Stegostoma tigrinum: one gene and its partner. The protein of the gene in region 2 purifies or fractionates together with the protein of the main gene of each other region. This does not show direct contact. Links are inferred from orthologs where the notes say so. Each region holds a gene or a part of one and is shown on either strand. Other genes may lie near its edges.

Region 1 (7,370 bases), on a different chromosome or scaffold from region 2:
TCCACCAAGTACTTTCTGTCAAGCAGATGTCAGCAATAGAGCTCCACCGTGCACAGATGGCCTTTTTTCAAAATAAAAATTTTTAAAAGTTGCGAGCAGTAGTATTATTTTTGTCCCAAACTGAGACAGAAAATTCATGTGAATGTCATTTCGAAATTCACTATTGTAGCAAGGCACCAAACAAATCAAGGACTTCTGATGCAAGACGGAGCATGTATATTTACAGATGTGCCAAATATCTAGCATTGTCTTGTGCTGCAGTAGATGTTATGCAAGTTCCTTCAATGGAAGTGTTCAATTTCGTTGATTTTTTACACAACTCTTTCAGCCTCTACTACTGGTTCAATTTTTAAAAAAAATTTCAAAAACACTCAAAACGTGAAGACAAACATTGAAATTCCTTACATAATTAAACATTCTGTATTGTCACAATGTTTAAAAGCACATTAGTGTGCCAGATGGGCTTTTACCAATTCTGTAGTCTTCAAGGTTTTCTGGGCCAATTCTACAAACTTCCAGATTTATTGAATTCAGTGTGATGACCTACCTTGATGTTATCACGGGGATTAATACAAAAAAAAAACCATTTAAGTATATTTAACAAACACACGTGTTTTAAGAATTGCATTTTTCAAATAAGGTTGGAGTAGTCAAAAAGCAAATGCTGGAAAACTGAAAGAGAGAGTTAGAAACACTCGGTCAGAGCCTGCAAAGATATAAGCTATTTACATTCAGGTGACCCGAAATGAAGAATATTCGATTCAGCTTGGAAAGCATTCAACCAGTACAGGAAAAGTGTGTCAAACAATTATTCTAATTACTATCTGAAAACAGGCAGCAATCCATTTGAAAGTTGAACATTAAACACGGCCACATATACCCAAGACAAAAGCCAATCTATTTTTGGCTACTTAAAGGATGTGACCAGCACAGGAAGGTGGAGTCAAGCACGATGATCATCCATTATGTTAATGAGTAGCAGTGTAGACTAAAAAGAGACTAAATGGCCTATTCCTATTTAGAGTAGATTTTATTCTGTAAGAATCATTTTTTCCCCCAGGTACTAACTGATGGAGATACTTATGCATTTTCTTTTGGTTTTGAGTTGAGTTTATAGCACTAAGCTCTCATTCTTTTTCATCGTAAAGCAAGACACTTTATTTGTTTTCCTTACAAAAATCACAAGCAGAACCCTTCCATTCCCACATCTCACTTGAGATATCATTTTTATACATGTCATAAAAGGCTAAAGGAGCTTTGAGAAAGAAACAAAGAGCTTATTGTCCAGTATCACTGTTCACAGTATCAAAAAAGGAAGAATTTGCCACTTGAAAGGGCAGGACCAATCCGTTGTAGATGATTTGCCAAAAGTTTACTGAACAGGGATTAAAGTCATGTCAGCTACATAAATATTCAATACGACATGAAGAGAACAAAGTTTAGTGTTGTCTACATTACAGATACACACTATACCAAGTCATAGGGCACACAATGGAAAATTAACAATCTAGGTGCAGTGTCAAATATCAACAAAATCAGTACAGAATTCATTGATGACTTTATTGTTAAAAATGTACAAAAGGATCACATGACAGTGGTCATCTCTCAGTTGACCCATAGTAGAACTAGGCGCACAAATTGTGTTTCAAGCATACATTTCCAGTTTGTTCAGAATTTTCACATGCAGCATAAATCAAGGATAGCGACAAATTTATTAGCTTGAATGTTTCTTTGATATTTATTCAAAAACAAAAACACCACCAAACTGGATCCCACTCAATTTCACATTATTACTTAAAATATACAATTGATATAATTGCATTGCATCAAACAGTGCAACAAAAATTACAAAATTAGAACTACCACCTGTTCACACACATTCTAGAGTAGGTAAGAAGTGGGGTGATAACTTGCAACAGTCTGCTGAAGCTAAACATTCATGCAGCAAAAAAAATCCTACAGCAATGCAGCAGGCAGATACTGCTCAAGCTCATTTGCATTCAGCTCATCCTCAGATTGAATTGAGAGAGGCAGGCAAAAGCAAAAAGAAAAATCAAAACGAGCAAATATAAAACAAAAAAAATCAGCTACATGATTAAATGCAAAGTTTTAGTAAAAAAAAACTAAAAAATTTAAAAATTGGAGATTTAAAGAACCAGATTAAATCTTACCTTAACCTAAAGTTTCCAACGCAGTTTCCACTTCATAAAAGAGAGAGAGAGGGAGCAGTAGGAAAAAGGGGGAAAGGGAGATGAGTGGGGAAGACGCTCCCGCAAAAACCGGGGCTTTAAGCGTGTGCGTGTGTCTACTGGTCCGCCTGGAGCACCGCACGCATGCGCAATGCACTGGTGGACTCGTGCAGCAGCCATGCAGCTCCAGTGCTGCTGCTGCTGCTGCCGCGCAGGCGCAGCCACGGAGCCGACCCGCAGGGGTTGAAGGCGCTCCATAGGAAAGGGAGAGCAAATAAATGCAAAACCGCAATTAAAAATCGGTCGACACACCTGGGGAAAAAATAAAACAGGTCCATATAAATGTAACGAATCGCTTACCTTTTCGGATGCGTTAAGGCGTCGTTTCATGAGGAGTTTTTTTTGGTTTGTTTTATCCCACCCTGTTAAAAACCTTCACCGCTTATCCACGATAACCTCACACCCACCCCGTCACAAAATGGCGGCCGTTCGTGGAGTGTATGCAAATTAGTAAAATATCGCTCATATGCAAATTAAGCAAAAAACGCATTCCGGGTACATCTCACTTCAAAACCTCCCCCCGTGATTTTTACATCTTTTCAAAGCGCGTAATTATGTATTTTTGTGTGTGTGGAAGATAAAGTAATACAGCAGTGTGATCTCTACTCTCCCTCCTTCGTCTCCCTCCACTGGAGTTGCTCGCTCTCCCCGCGCACCACTTAAGGGCGGCAGCTCATTCTCGCCCCATCTCGAGAGCGAGATGAATATGCAGATAACAACACCCGCATACATGCCATTAAGAACGTGGCTACCAATCAGCAGCCAGCGCGGGGGTGTTACATGCAAATCGCGGGTGCCTATATGCAAAACAGGGAGCCGCACTCGCCCGGCGCACCCGAAGCAGGCGGTGGGCGGGGCGTATGTAAATATTACGGACGGTCATTTGCATAACCGCCGTCGTTTTTTCAAAACCCATCCGTTGGCGCAGCGAAGCAGACGGTTACGTTCGTTGTTGATTTAGTCTCCTTTAGATTGGGTGGGTGGGGTTGGTGATCGTACTGGTCGTCGACGTCGTCGCGGTTCGTGTTGTTTTCAAAATAGCCCTTTGGAAACTGTGCATTTATGAAGTTTTCGAGTAGCTTCTATAAGATTGAAATCCCTTTTGTATTTTCTTTAAATAGAAAGTGTTCTCGTCGGAAAAGAAGTGGTTCCTCGAACACTGCATTCCAAAAAGAATGCACTTCGACAACCCATTGTACTGGTGTTAAATAAACGCCTGCATCGCTTGCTCTGTCAGCAGCGACGGTCGCTTGCAATTCTTTTTCCCACCCTTCGTCGCTTCTATGACTGACCGCCAGTGTCGCTGTTGAGTACAAAGGCGCTTCTGACAGCAGGAGTACGCGAGAACTCCTGACTGGACAGATTGAACATGTTTCAAATACCAATCCTGACTACTTCGGAGAGAGCTACGCACCCTCCAAAAACATCTTTCGGCTAACCTTTGGATGTTTTAACTTTAAATATCTTGCAACTGTTTAACTGTGATAAAAACACAGTCTTAAATACAGGTATTTTTGAAAACATAAGCTACATTTAATAACGTCGCTCTCCAATAGCCGGGACGTTAAGACTTTTTTTAAAAATTCGGAGATCGGAATCACAGCAGAAAAGAAATTGCTGGAGGAACTCAGAACCTTCAGACCTTTCTGGAGAAGGGTCACTAGACTCAAAACTGTTGTCTTTCGCGAATGCTGCCAGACGTGCTGAGTTTCACCAGCAAGTTTTGTTTTCAGAGTTCTTTTTAATTTTTTCATGAATAAGATTAGTGGATAGATTGTAGAATCTGGGGCTGCAGGTTGAGAGGAACTTTGATGAAGGTGTTCATGAGGGATTTGGACAGGGTAGATTTCCACTCTGTCAGAGTCCTATGGTTTTATATGTAGAAACTTCCAACCATCTGGTACGAGGATTGAGAACCCAAGGGTGCCAACTGAGAGTTAAGTAACAACAGTGCCATGTGGAAAAGCTTTTTTTAAATAAGACACTTTGTGTGATTAGACTCTTAGACTGCAATGCCTCAAAGTGTTGTCGAGCAGATCAAAGTCAAGTCTTCAAAAGATAATTAGATAATTTTTGGTGGTGGTGGGAACATAATTGCCACCTATGAGGAACAGCCATGTGGTGGAACTAACTGACTAGCCAGTAATGATGCAATTCTTCATCATGTAACCTTCTATCATTCTGTCGCCCAGCCTGGGAGAAATAGAATATCAAAAGGATACAAAATAAGAGATTGAAAAAGAAGTGCAAATCAATTGCAAGGCTTGTCAAGGATAGCACCAAAAATTTTCACAATATACTAAGAGGAAGAGGGTGGGCGGAGATAATGTGTACTTTCTTAAAGAGAGGTCAGATGATACCACAATAAATATTAACGATGGATAAAACAGTCATTCTTAAACAAGGACGAGTGGATCACTGGGAGATACTATTTGGTGGAATCAGTGAAACAAATGAGTTGCAGCTAGAAACATGCAGCAATTTGATGACAATCACTTCAGTTATTGGCGACTATTTCCGAGTATGTGGGGTATTATTGATAATTGTCTGCAAACCAATGACAGCCCATCACTCTCAAGGACTTTCTCACTTCGAGCTTGCATCCTACTCCTGTGAAAATATTTTGAATGCTGTCAGACTGGCTGATAATGACCAATTGACCCACATCCAATAAAAAGTAGGAGATAATTTCTTAAATATTATTTTTCCACAAGATCTTTCCTGTTCTCCTGAATGGCAGCAAAATAAACTGGATGCACAGCTGAGACAATAGAAAATTGTCTGTTTTATAATACCGAGTGTCTAAAGAAGCCGTCTTGACAATGGACTAGTCTGCAGTTACAACACAGGCTGTGAGGGTACATTGATGTCTTGCACCTGGAAATGTTACAGCGCAGCAAAGCCAGTTGCTGTGGTCTTCTGTGGAGAGAAACACAGTTAGCCTTTATTGGGATAGGCTTTCGCAGTTCTCAGTAGCTTAATGATTTCTGATTCTACAAGGTGGAATAGAAATTGGAGAATGATTAACAAATGTCATCGTCAAACATCTCATTAAGCATAGGCAGACCTGGTGATGAGAAACAAGGGAAACAATCTCACCTTCATCCATAAGTAAATATCTTTTTCTTAAACATAGAACACTCTTTAAAGGCTGTACCTTCATGCCATACTGTACTCCAATTTAATTGGGAACTGACCGTTAATCCACATCAAAAGATGTCCTTCGCCAAAAAAAATTGACAACTATTCCATTAGGGGGTCCAGTGGATTCAAGGAACATCCCACGTGCCTCAATGTAATTGAGAAATCAAATTGCACGTTTCCGGAAAGACCACTGATATTCAAAGGAATCATAAATAAAATAAAGAACTGCAGATGCTGGGAAGAGGGCCTGATGGCAATGAGTGATGGGGAAGACTGTGGAGGATGGGAATGGGAAAAGTGGTCTGAGGGAGAGGCAGTAGCTGATTATAGTGTGAGTTGGGGGAAAAATAACAAAGGGGTTGGTTACTTTGTGTGTATGGGTGAGGTGTGGGGAGGGGGATAGGAATTGTATTTGTCAAAATAGCCTCACAGAGCATTCTGCCACCAGAGAATATGGAACTGAAGAGTCATTGGACATAAAATATTAAGTGTGCTATCACCCCACAGATGATAGCAGACCTGCAGAAATTTGCCCGCAATTTCTGTTTTCATTTCAGATCTCCAGCTTCCTCAGTTCTGTTTTATTTTATACTTGTCTGTGTATTGTATGTATGGCAATAAGGCATTGTTCAGTATATAACTATGAATGTTTATGTATTAAACATCAAAATATTATACATCCTACAAATACGAGCATCTGTTTATAAAAGTATTTTATGAAAATGCTGTTATATACTGTCAATCATTATAAGCAAGTCAGATAAACTTTGGATTTTCCACTGAGAATTTCAAATGACACAAAATAATATCCATGGATGCTGCAGATTCAGTTTGAATTTGCTGCACACAATGCAGTCGTAAATCAAAATGAATTTAATTCACAAGGTAAGTAACTTAACTAAATGTGGAGCTGTGCTTCTTCCAACATGGAGAAAATGGAAAATGGATGTGCTTCTGAATTGATAAAGAATATACAATGCAACAGTTACTGGTCACTGAAGTTTCAACAAAACTTTCCATATTCTCTGGACTCTGGCAGAAGGCTCTGTGAAGCAACTTTGACAAACACAGCCCTTCTCCCCCTTCCCACATCCACCCAAACACACACACGCAGTAAGCAGCCCTTCTCTTCCTAACTCACACAGCAATCAGCTATTCTCCCACCCACAGAGAACCCCCCCCCCCACTGTAATTAGGCATGCTCTCCCCTACCACTCATTGCCATCAGGCCCTGTCCCCATTCCCCAGCACACACTATTATCGGCCCCTTTCCTCTTAAACCCGCATATGCACTATAGTCATCTTCGCTCCAAACAGTTTATTCAGCCTCTTGTTCTGCCCATGCACATTGTAGTCAGCTGCACATCACATCCACACATGATAATCAGCCTTACCCCACACAGAACATTCAGCCTCTTTCTCCTCACATAATGTCGCACAATGTTGTTATAACTAAGGTTGGACGTGTTTAGTGATCACTTCCGAGTCCCATTCCTCCAAACTTCATCATAAAATTCAAATTTAACCAAGTTGGTGATTTGGTCAAGTATATTTTTCTTGGAATGTGTCAGGTTCAGTATTAAGAGCAAATCAGAATTATTTGATCTTGTAGTGATTGGAACTGGGGCCAGTTGGATCACGTTGGCTATGAGATCCTTGATTGGGGCCATTAACCTGGGCTACTCAGGGAGCCCTGCCTGACAGATCTCAACAGGAGATTCAGGTCTCATTAGTCAAGGGATTGGCTTTGAGCTGATTGGTCAGAGCTCATGTACTGTGCACATGTAAATAAAGTGTGACTTGGTGATGGTATACTGGCCTTTGGGCAGTTATTTCAAGTCTGCAACAAATGATTGAGTTATTATCAAAACAAACATACTCAAAATAGATGCAGAGGTTATTGAGAAACAGTTGAATTACAAAAACATATGTATATATCAATTTTCCAAAGAAACCAGCACACACTAACACTTTCCC
Region 2 (7,947 bases):
TCCCCGGGACCTGACGGTCTGCATCCCAGGTTCCTTGAGGAGGTGGCTGTAGAAATTGTGGACGCATTGGTAATTATTTTCCAAGGTTCTATAGATTCAGGATCAGTTCCTGTGGATTGGAGGGTGGCAAATGTTGTCCCACTTTTCAAGAAAGGAGGGAGAGAGAAAACAGGAAATTACAGACCGGTTAGCCGGACGTCAGTGGTGGGAAAGGTGCTGGAGTCAATTATAAAAGATGAAATTACAACTCATTTGGATAGCAGTAACAGAATAAGTCAGAGTCAGCATGGATTTACGAAGGGGAAATCATGCTTGACTAATCTTCTGGAATTTTTTGAGGATGTATCTATGAAGATGGATAAGGGAGAGCCAGTGGATGTCGTGTACCTGGACTTTCAGAAAGCCTTTGATAAAGTCCCGCATAGGAGATTGGTGAACAAAATTAGGGCACATGGTATTGGGGGCAAAATAGAGTTGGATTGAACATTGGCTGGCTGACAGGAAGCAAAGAGGAGTGATAAACGGGTCCCTTTCGGAATGGCAGGCAGTGACCAGTGGCATTCCACAAGGTTCAGTGCTGGGACCGCAGCTGTTTACGATATACATTAATGATATACACGAAGGCATTAGAAGTAATATTAGCAAATTTGTTGATGACACAAAGTTGGGTGGCAGTGTGAAATGTGAGGAGGATGTTATGAGAATACAGGGTGACTTGGACAGGCTAGGTGAGTGGACGGATGCATGGCAGATGCAGTTTAATTTGGATAAATGTGCGGTTATAAACTTTGGTGGCAAGAACCGGAAGGCAGATTACCTAACTTGACTCCATTGAGATGGTAAAGGGGAAGCAGAACGAGATCTAGGTGTTCTTGTGCATCAGTCAATGAAAGCAAGCATGCAGGTACAGCAGGCAGTGAAGAAAGCTAATAGCATGCTGGCCTTCATAACAAGAGGAATTGAGTATAGGAGCAAAGAGGTCCTTCTGCAGCTCTACAGGGCCCTGGTGAGACCGCACCTGGAGTATTGTGTGCAGTTTTGGTCTCCCAATTTGAGGAAGGACATTCTTGCTATTAACGGAGGGCAGCATAGGTTCACGAGGTCAATTCCGAGAATGGCGGGACTATCATATGTTGAAAGATTGGAGCGACTGGGCTTGCATACACTTGAGTTTAGGAGGATGAGAGGGGATCTGATTGAGACGTGGAAGATTACTAAGGGATTGGACACTGTGGAGGCAGGGAGCATGTTTCCGCTGATGGGTGAGTCCAGGACTAGAGGACGCAGTTTAAAAATAAGGGGTAGGCCATTTAGAACAAGAGTTGAGGAAAAACTTCTTCACCCAGACAGTGGTGGATATATGGAATGCTCTGCCCCAGAAGGCAGTGGAGGCCAACTCTCTGGACGCTTTCAAGAAAGAGATGGATAGAGCTCTTAAAGATAGTGGAATCAAGGGTTACGGGGGTAAGGCAGGAACAGGATACTGATTGTGGATGATCAGCCATGATCATAATGAATGGTGGTGCTGGCTCGAAGGGCCGAATGGCCTACTCCAGCACCTATTGTCTATTGTCTAACCATTGCGGCACCGAGCTGCTGCTTTCATACAGAGGTGAGAAATTTCTTCACTGATAATGTGGCAGAATTTTCTATGATTTGAGACTGTGGAGTCACTGAATGTATTTAAGGCAAAGAAGTTTCTTCGAGACAATAAGTGACAAAGGAAATAGGAAGGGACAATTGAACAGGCTTGCTGGGTCAGATATAACCACTCAAGCTCCTATTTCAACATTTCCCAGGGCAGAATCTGTTTAGTCAGGCCCAAAAACTAGTGAATGCACCACAATAACAGGTGGATCTGAAATGGCCTAGCTTGAAACTAAAATTGGTGGCTCGAGACCACCCAGTGGCATGGTGCTCATATGGGCAGCACGGTGGCTCAGTGGTTAGCACTGCTGCCTCACGGTGCCAGGGAACCAGGTTCGATTCCAACATCGGGCGACTGTCTGTGCGGAGTTTGCACGTTCTCCCCGTGTCTGCGTGGGGTTTCCTCCGGGCGCTCCAGCTCCCTCCCACAGGTCCAAAGACGTGCAGTTTAGGGTGGATTGGCCGTGCTAAATTGCCCATAGTGCCTGGGGAAGTTTAGGTGACATAAGTTAGACATGGGAGATGCAGGGCAGGGGATTGGGTCTAGGTGGGATGCTCTTTGGAGGGGCAGTGTGGACTTGTTGGCCTGAATGGTCTGTTTCCACACTGTAGGGATCCTAAGATTCTTACACATTCTGACCTTTTTCTCAGGAATTGGGTTATTCACAGGCAATATTACATAGGGCTGATTCCTCGAGCCACAGTAGAGGGGGGTGGGGGGATTTGGTGAAAGGGAGGATTTGGGGGAAAAAGGGGAAACAAAAAAGAGACAGAGAGAGAGAGGGAAAGAAAGAGACAGACAGACACAGAGAGAGAGAGAGAGAGAGAGAGAGAGAGAGAGAGAGAGAGAGAGAGAGAGAGAGAGAGAGAGAGAGAGAGAGAGAGAGAGAGAGAGAGAGAGAAAAAGGGGGAGCCAGGAACTACAATCCCCAGCATGCTCCGCGGGGTCAACGCGCATACTCACGCGCGGTGCAGCAGCGCACGGCCCTTTCGCGCAGCCGCACTACTCCAGTGGACGGCTCTCCGAGGCAATTTTGAAAAAAAAGTGAAAGAAAAAAAATGGGAAGATTAAAGGCTCCGGGAGGCAGAAACACCCGGCCGCAGTGCGGGAACGTGGAGTCTAAAGAAGACGACGAGCGAACCTCCGCACCAACCTGCAGGAGACAAACAATAAGAAAACAATCCGAGCATCTCACCTTCTCCTGCAGCCGTGAGGCTGGGCCTAGCGCCTAACCACTAGGCCGCGGCTTCTCTAAATTTCTTTAACAGGCTCGCTCGCTCTGTGTGACTTTGCAAATTGCGGTGGAAAGGCTACATGGTTTTAATTGAAGTGCATCACCGTTCCGCCGCCTCCCAGGCCCCCGAGTGAAAGGATGTTTTGAAAAGACGGCTGCTGGTGAGTCGCCCAAACACGCCGGGCTGCGACCCACCTTGAACGGGGATTGGCCAACGTCGCTGCCGGCCAACCGGATTGACGGGGACCGCGGCCAATCGGTGCCGGCCCCGCCCCCCACGGTCCGCGAGTGACGGGCACGCGGCCCAATTGAATGAGGCCCCACCCCCGCAGCGTCTGATTGACCGATGTCTAGATGAGTCAAATGGGGTCCAGCCTCCTCTCCTCCTGATCGACGGTGGTCTTGTCCAATGCGATGAGGACCCACCCACATGGGCATCGAAATGCTGGAGTCTTGACCAATCGCATGTGGTCCCACCTTATCAGCCGCGATCGACATGGAAGCAGCCAATCGAGCGGTTGTCTTCCCAGACGGAGAACGCCACTGGACTCCCGCGCATACCAACCCGTTTATCGACGTCCTCCCCTGCCAATGGGAAGATGGAAGGGTAACAGTCACCGCCGATTATGCCGCCCATTTGTAATTGACGTTTCGCTCGCCCAACCATCTCCAAGCCCCTCCGTAATGATTGGCAATTCTTCCTGATCGACTGATAAGCCGGCCAATCGGCTTTTGGAACATTTGCAGTCCCGCCCATCCAGCTCAATAATAGGACCTTCTACCAATGGATGGGCAGAGACATGGGCTGGCCAGTGACAATGGTCACCCTGTTGTGGAGTGGGGTAGAAGTTTGGAAGGGCCGAATGGCCATCTGCATGAACCAGCAGGTGGTCCACACCCAGCTATTTTCAGTGCAGCAAAACCTCTGACCTCGCTCGGCTAGATCATCGATTCCCAGGCTCTGATCACAGAGACAAGGCCTTTCTTCACGTAATTGGGACCTCCAGCTCCAGTTGGCGACGGTGAGTCTGGGCACCGAGTGGGGCAGCTGGAGCAGTCAAACCAATCATGGATTTCCTCAACCAAACCTCAAGCACGTGCTTAATTCTTCAAACTACGCCAATTTTCTGGCTTAGCCTCACGTTTGTAACGATAAATGCAACCAACGTCATCAAAGACGCCAAGATAACAAGGTGTGGAGCTGGATGAACACAGCAGGCCAAGCAGCATCTTAGGAGCAGGAGAGCTGATGTTTCATCAGAGACCCTCCATCCCCCTCTCTGAGAAGGGTCTAGGCCTGAAACGTCAGCTTTTGTGCTCCTAAGATGCTGCTTGGCCTGCTGTGTTCATCCAGCTCCACACTTTGTTATCTCAGATTCTCCAGCATCTGCAGTTCCCATAATCTCTGATACACTCCTGACCTGTGCCTTGGAGAAGGTTGACAGACTTTGGGGAATCAGGAAGTGTGTTACTCACCGCAGTAACACTTCTGGCCTGCTGTTGTAGCCATTGTGTTTATGTAGTCAGTCCAGTTGAGTTTCTGATCAATCATAGTGGGGGATTCAGTGTTGGAAACACCATTGAATGTCAAGGGACAATTGTCTGTTATTGGTGATGGTCATAGCCTGGCATTTGGCTGGCATGAACGTTACTTGCCACTTGTCAGCCCAAGCCTGGATATTGTCCAAATCTTGTTGGATTTGAACATGGCCTGCTTCAGTACCTGAGGAGTCACGAGTGGTGCTGAACATTGTGCAATCATCGGCGAACATCCCCACTTCTGACCTTATGATGGAGGGAAGGCCGTTGATGAAACAGCTGAAGATGGTTGGGCTGAGGACACTACCCTGAGGAACTCCTGCAGAGGTGTCCTGGAGCTGAGATGACTGACCTCCCACAACCACGACCATCTTCCTATGTGTCACCTAAGACTCCAAACACTGGAGAGTTTGCCCCTGATACCCATTGATTCCAGTTCTAGGGCTCCTTGATGCCACACTCAGTCGAATGCAGCCTTGATGTCAAGGGCTGTCACTCTCACCTCACCTCTGCGATTCAGCTCTTTGGTCCATGTTTGAACCGAGGATGTAATGGGGTCAGAAGCTGAGTGGCCCTGGCGAAACCCAAACTGGATGTCACTGAGCAGGTTACTGCTGAGCATGTACTGTTTGATAGCGCTGTTACTGACACCTTCCATCACTTTCATGATGATCGAGACTGATGGGGCAGTAAAGGGCCAGGCTGGATTGGTCCTGCTCTTTGTGTCCAGGACATACTTGGGCAATTTTCCACATTGCCAGGTAGATGCCAGGGTTGTAGCTGCACTGGAACAGCTTGGGTAGGGGAGCGGCAAGTTCTGGAGCACAAGTCTTCAGTCCTATTGCCGGAATGCTCTCCGGGCCTGTGGCCTTTGCAGTATCCAGTGTCTCCAACCGTTTCTTGACATCGCGTGGAGTGAATCGAATTGGCTGAAGACTGGTATCCGTGACACTGGGGACCACTGCAGGAGGCCGAGATAGATCGGCACTTCTGGCTGAAGATTGCTGCGAAAGCTCCAGCCTTACTTTTTGCACTGATGTGCTGGGCTCTTCCATCATTGAGGACGGGGATATTTGCAGAGCCCCATCCCTCGGTGAGTTGTTTAATTGACCCCCACCATTCGCCACTGGATGTGGCAGGACTGCAGAGCTTAGACCTGATCTGTTGGCTGTGGGATCGCTAGGCTGTGTCTCTCACTTGCTGCTTTCGCTGTTTGGTGTGCAAGTAGTCCTGTCTGGTGGCTTCACCAGATTGATCCCTCACCTTCAGGTCTGCCTGGTGCTGCTCCTGGCATACCCTCCTGCACTCTCCTTTGAACCAGGGTCGATCCCCTGGCTTGATGGTAATGGTTGGGTGGGGGATACACCAGGTTGTGAGGTTACAGATTGTGCAGGAGTACAATTCTGCTGCTGTTGATGGCCCACAGCGTCTCAGGGATGCCGAGTCCTGATTTGCGAGATCTGTGTGAAGTCTGTCCCATTGAGCACGGGGATAGTGCCACACACACAATGGAGGTTATTCTCAATGTGAAGGCGGGACTCTGTCTCCACAAGGACTGTGAGATGGTCACTCTTACCGATACTGTCATGGGCAGATGCCTCTGCAGCTGGCAGATTGGTAAGGATGAGGTCAAATATGTGTTTCCCCTCTTGTTGGTTCCCTCACCACCTGCTGCAGACCCAGCCTAGCAGCTGTGTCCTTTAGGACCCGACCAGCCCGATCAGTAGGACAGCTGCCGAGCCTCTCTTGGTGGTGGACAGTGAAGTCCCCCACCCAGAGTACATTTTGTGCCCTTGCCATCCTCAGTGCTTCCTCTAAGTGATATTCAACATGGAGGGCGTACCGATTCATCAACTGGGGGAGGACGGTATGTGGTAACCAGCAGGAGGTTCCCTTGCCCGTGTTAAACCTGAAGCCATGAGACTTCATGTCGTCCGGAGTCAATGTCGAGGACTCCCAGAGCAACTGCCTCCCAACTGTATCCCACTGTGCGGCCCCCTCTGCTGGGTCTGTTCTGCCGGGTGGCGGACAGGACATACCCAGGGATGGTGATGGTGGTGTCTGGGACAGTGTCTGTAAGGTGTGATTCTGTGAATGTGACTATGTCAGACGGTTGCTTGACTAGTCTGTGAGACAGCCCTCCCAGTGTTGGCACTAACCCCCAGATGTTAGTGAGGAGGGCTTCGCAGGGTCGACAGGGCTGTTTCTGCCATTTTCCTTTACAGTGCCATGCCAGGTGATCCGACCAGTTTCATTTCGTTGAGACTTTGTAGCGATTGGTAGAGCTGATTGGCTTGCTTGGCCATTTCAGAGGGCAACTGGGAGTCAACCATAGTGCTGTAGGTCTGGAGTCACATGTAGGCCAGACCAGGTAAGGAGGGCAGATTCCCTTCCCTGAAGGACATCAGTGAACCAGATGGGATTTTCCGACATTCAGCCACAGATTTACGGTCTTCGGTAGCTCTTAATTGCAGATTTTGTTTTGATTGAATTCAAATTCCACCATCTGCCGTCGTGGGATTCGAACCTGGATCCCCTGAACATCACCTCGGTCTCTTGGATTAATAGTCTAGCAATAACACCACGAGGGCAGAAGATACAAAAGCTTAAATACACATACTAACAGATTCAAGGAGGGCTTTCTCCCTGCTGTTATCAGACTTCTAAGTGGACCTCCCAAAATTCAAATGTTGATCTCGCTCTTTGTGCACCTCCTCTGTAACCACTACATCGTATATCTCACCCTGATCTGTCACCCGATGATCATTGTGTGGTATGATCTGCCTGTGCTGCTCGCAAAACACAACTTTTCACTGTGCCTAGGTACAAGCGACAACAATAAATCAATCCAAATCAGATCTGATGCCCTTGGGATAAAGAATCCTGCTTCATGCCCCTTCAGCTACTCACAATAATTGAATTGAATCATTTATTGTCAAATATATTCAAACAAAATACAGTGCTCTTCACATCAGCTTAAAAAAGGGGAAGGAAACTTGGTGACCCGGTGTCTCAGTGGTTAGCGCTGCTGCTTCACGGCGCCAGGGACCTGCGTTCGATTCCACCCTCGGGCGACTGTCTGTGTGGAGTTTGCACATTCTCCCCGTGTCTGCGTGGGTTTCCTCCGGGTGCTCCGGTTTCCTCCCACAGTCCAAAGGTGTGCAGGTTAGGGTGGGTTGGCCATGCTAAATTGTCCCGTAGTGCCCAGGGATGTGCGGGTTAGGGTGGATTGGACGTGCTAAATTGTCCCGTAGTGCCCAGGGATGTGCGGGTTAGGGTGGATTGGCCGTGCTAAATTGTCCCATAGTGCCCAGGGATGTGTGGGTTAGGGGTGGATTGGCCGTGCTAAATTGTCCCATAGTGCCCAGGGATGTGCGGGTTAGGGGTGGATTGCCCGTGCTAAATTGTCTCGTAGTGCCCAGGGATGTGTGGGTTAGGGTGGATTGGCCGTGCTAAATTGTCCCGTAGTGCCCAGGGATGTGTGGGTTAGGGTGGATTGGCCATGCTAAATTGTCCCGTAGTGCCC

Evidence for each region.
Region 1: the proteins of setdb1b (region 2) and activating transcription factor 7-interacting protein 1-like purify together in Homo sapiens (affinity purification with mass spectrometry; 6 studies listed by BioGRID and IntAct, counting the BioPlex papers as one, with this or other methods). This does not show direct contact. The link is inferred for Stegostoma tigrinum from reciprocal best matches to the Homo sapiens genes SETDB1 and ATF7IP.

The regions. Positions count from the first base shown.
Region 1 is NC_081391.1:8,935,048-8,942,417, reverse strand, and holds the start of activating transcription factor 7-interacting protein 1-like, read right to left. Parts: upstream 3,092-7,370; 5' UTR 2,550-3,091; intron 1-2,549. UniProt on the Homo sapiens protein: Recruiter that couples transcriptional factors to general transcription apparatus and thereby modulates transcription regulation and chromatin formation. Can both act as an activator or a repressor depending on the context.
Region 2 is NC_081400.1:5,506,710-5,514,656, reverse strand, and holds the start of setdb1b (histone-lysine N-methyltransferase SETDB1-B), read right to left. Parts: upstream 3,082-7,947; 5' UTR 2,844-3,081; intron 1-2,843. UniProt on the Homo sapiens protein: Histone methyltransferase that specifically trimethylates 'Lys-9' of histone H3. H3 'Lys-9' trimethylation represents a specific tag for epigenetic transcriptional repression by recruiting HP1 (CBX1, CBX3 and/or CBX5) proteins to methylated histones.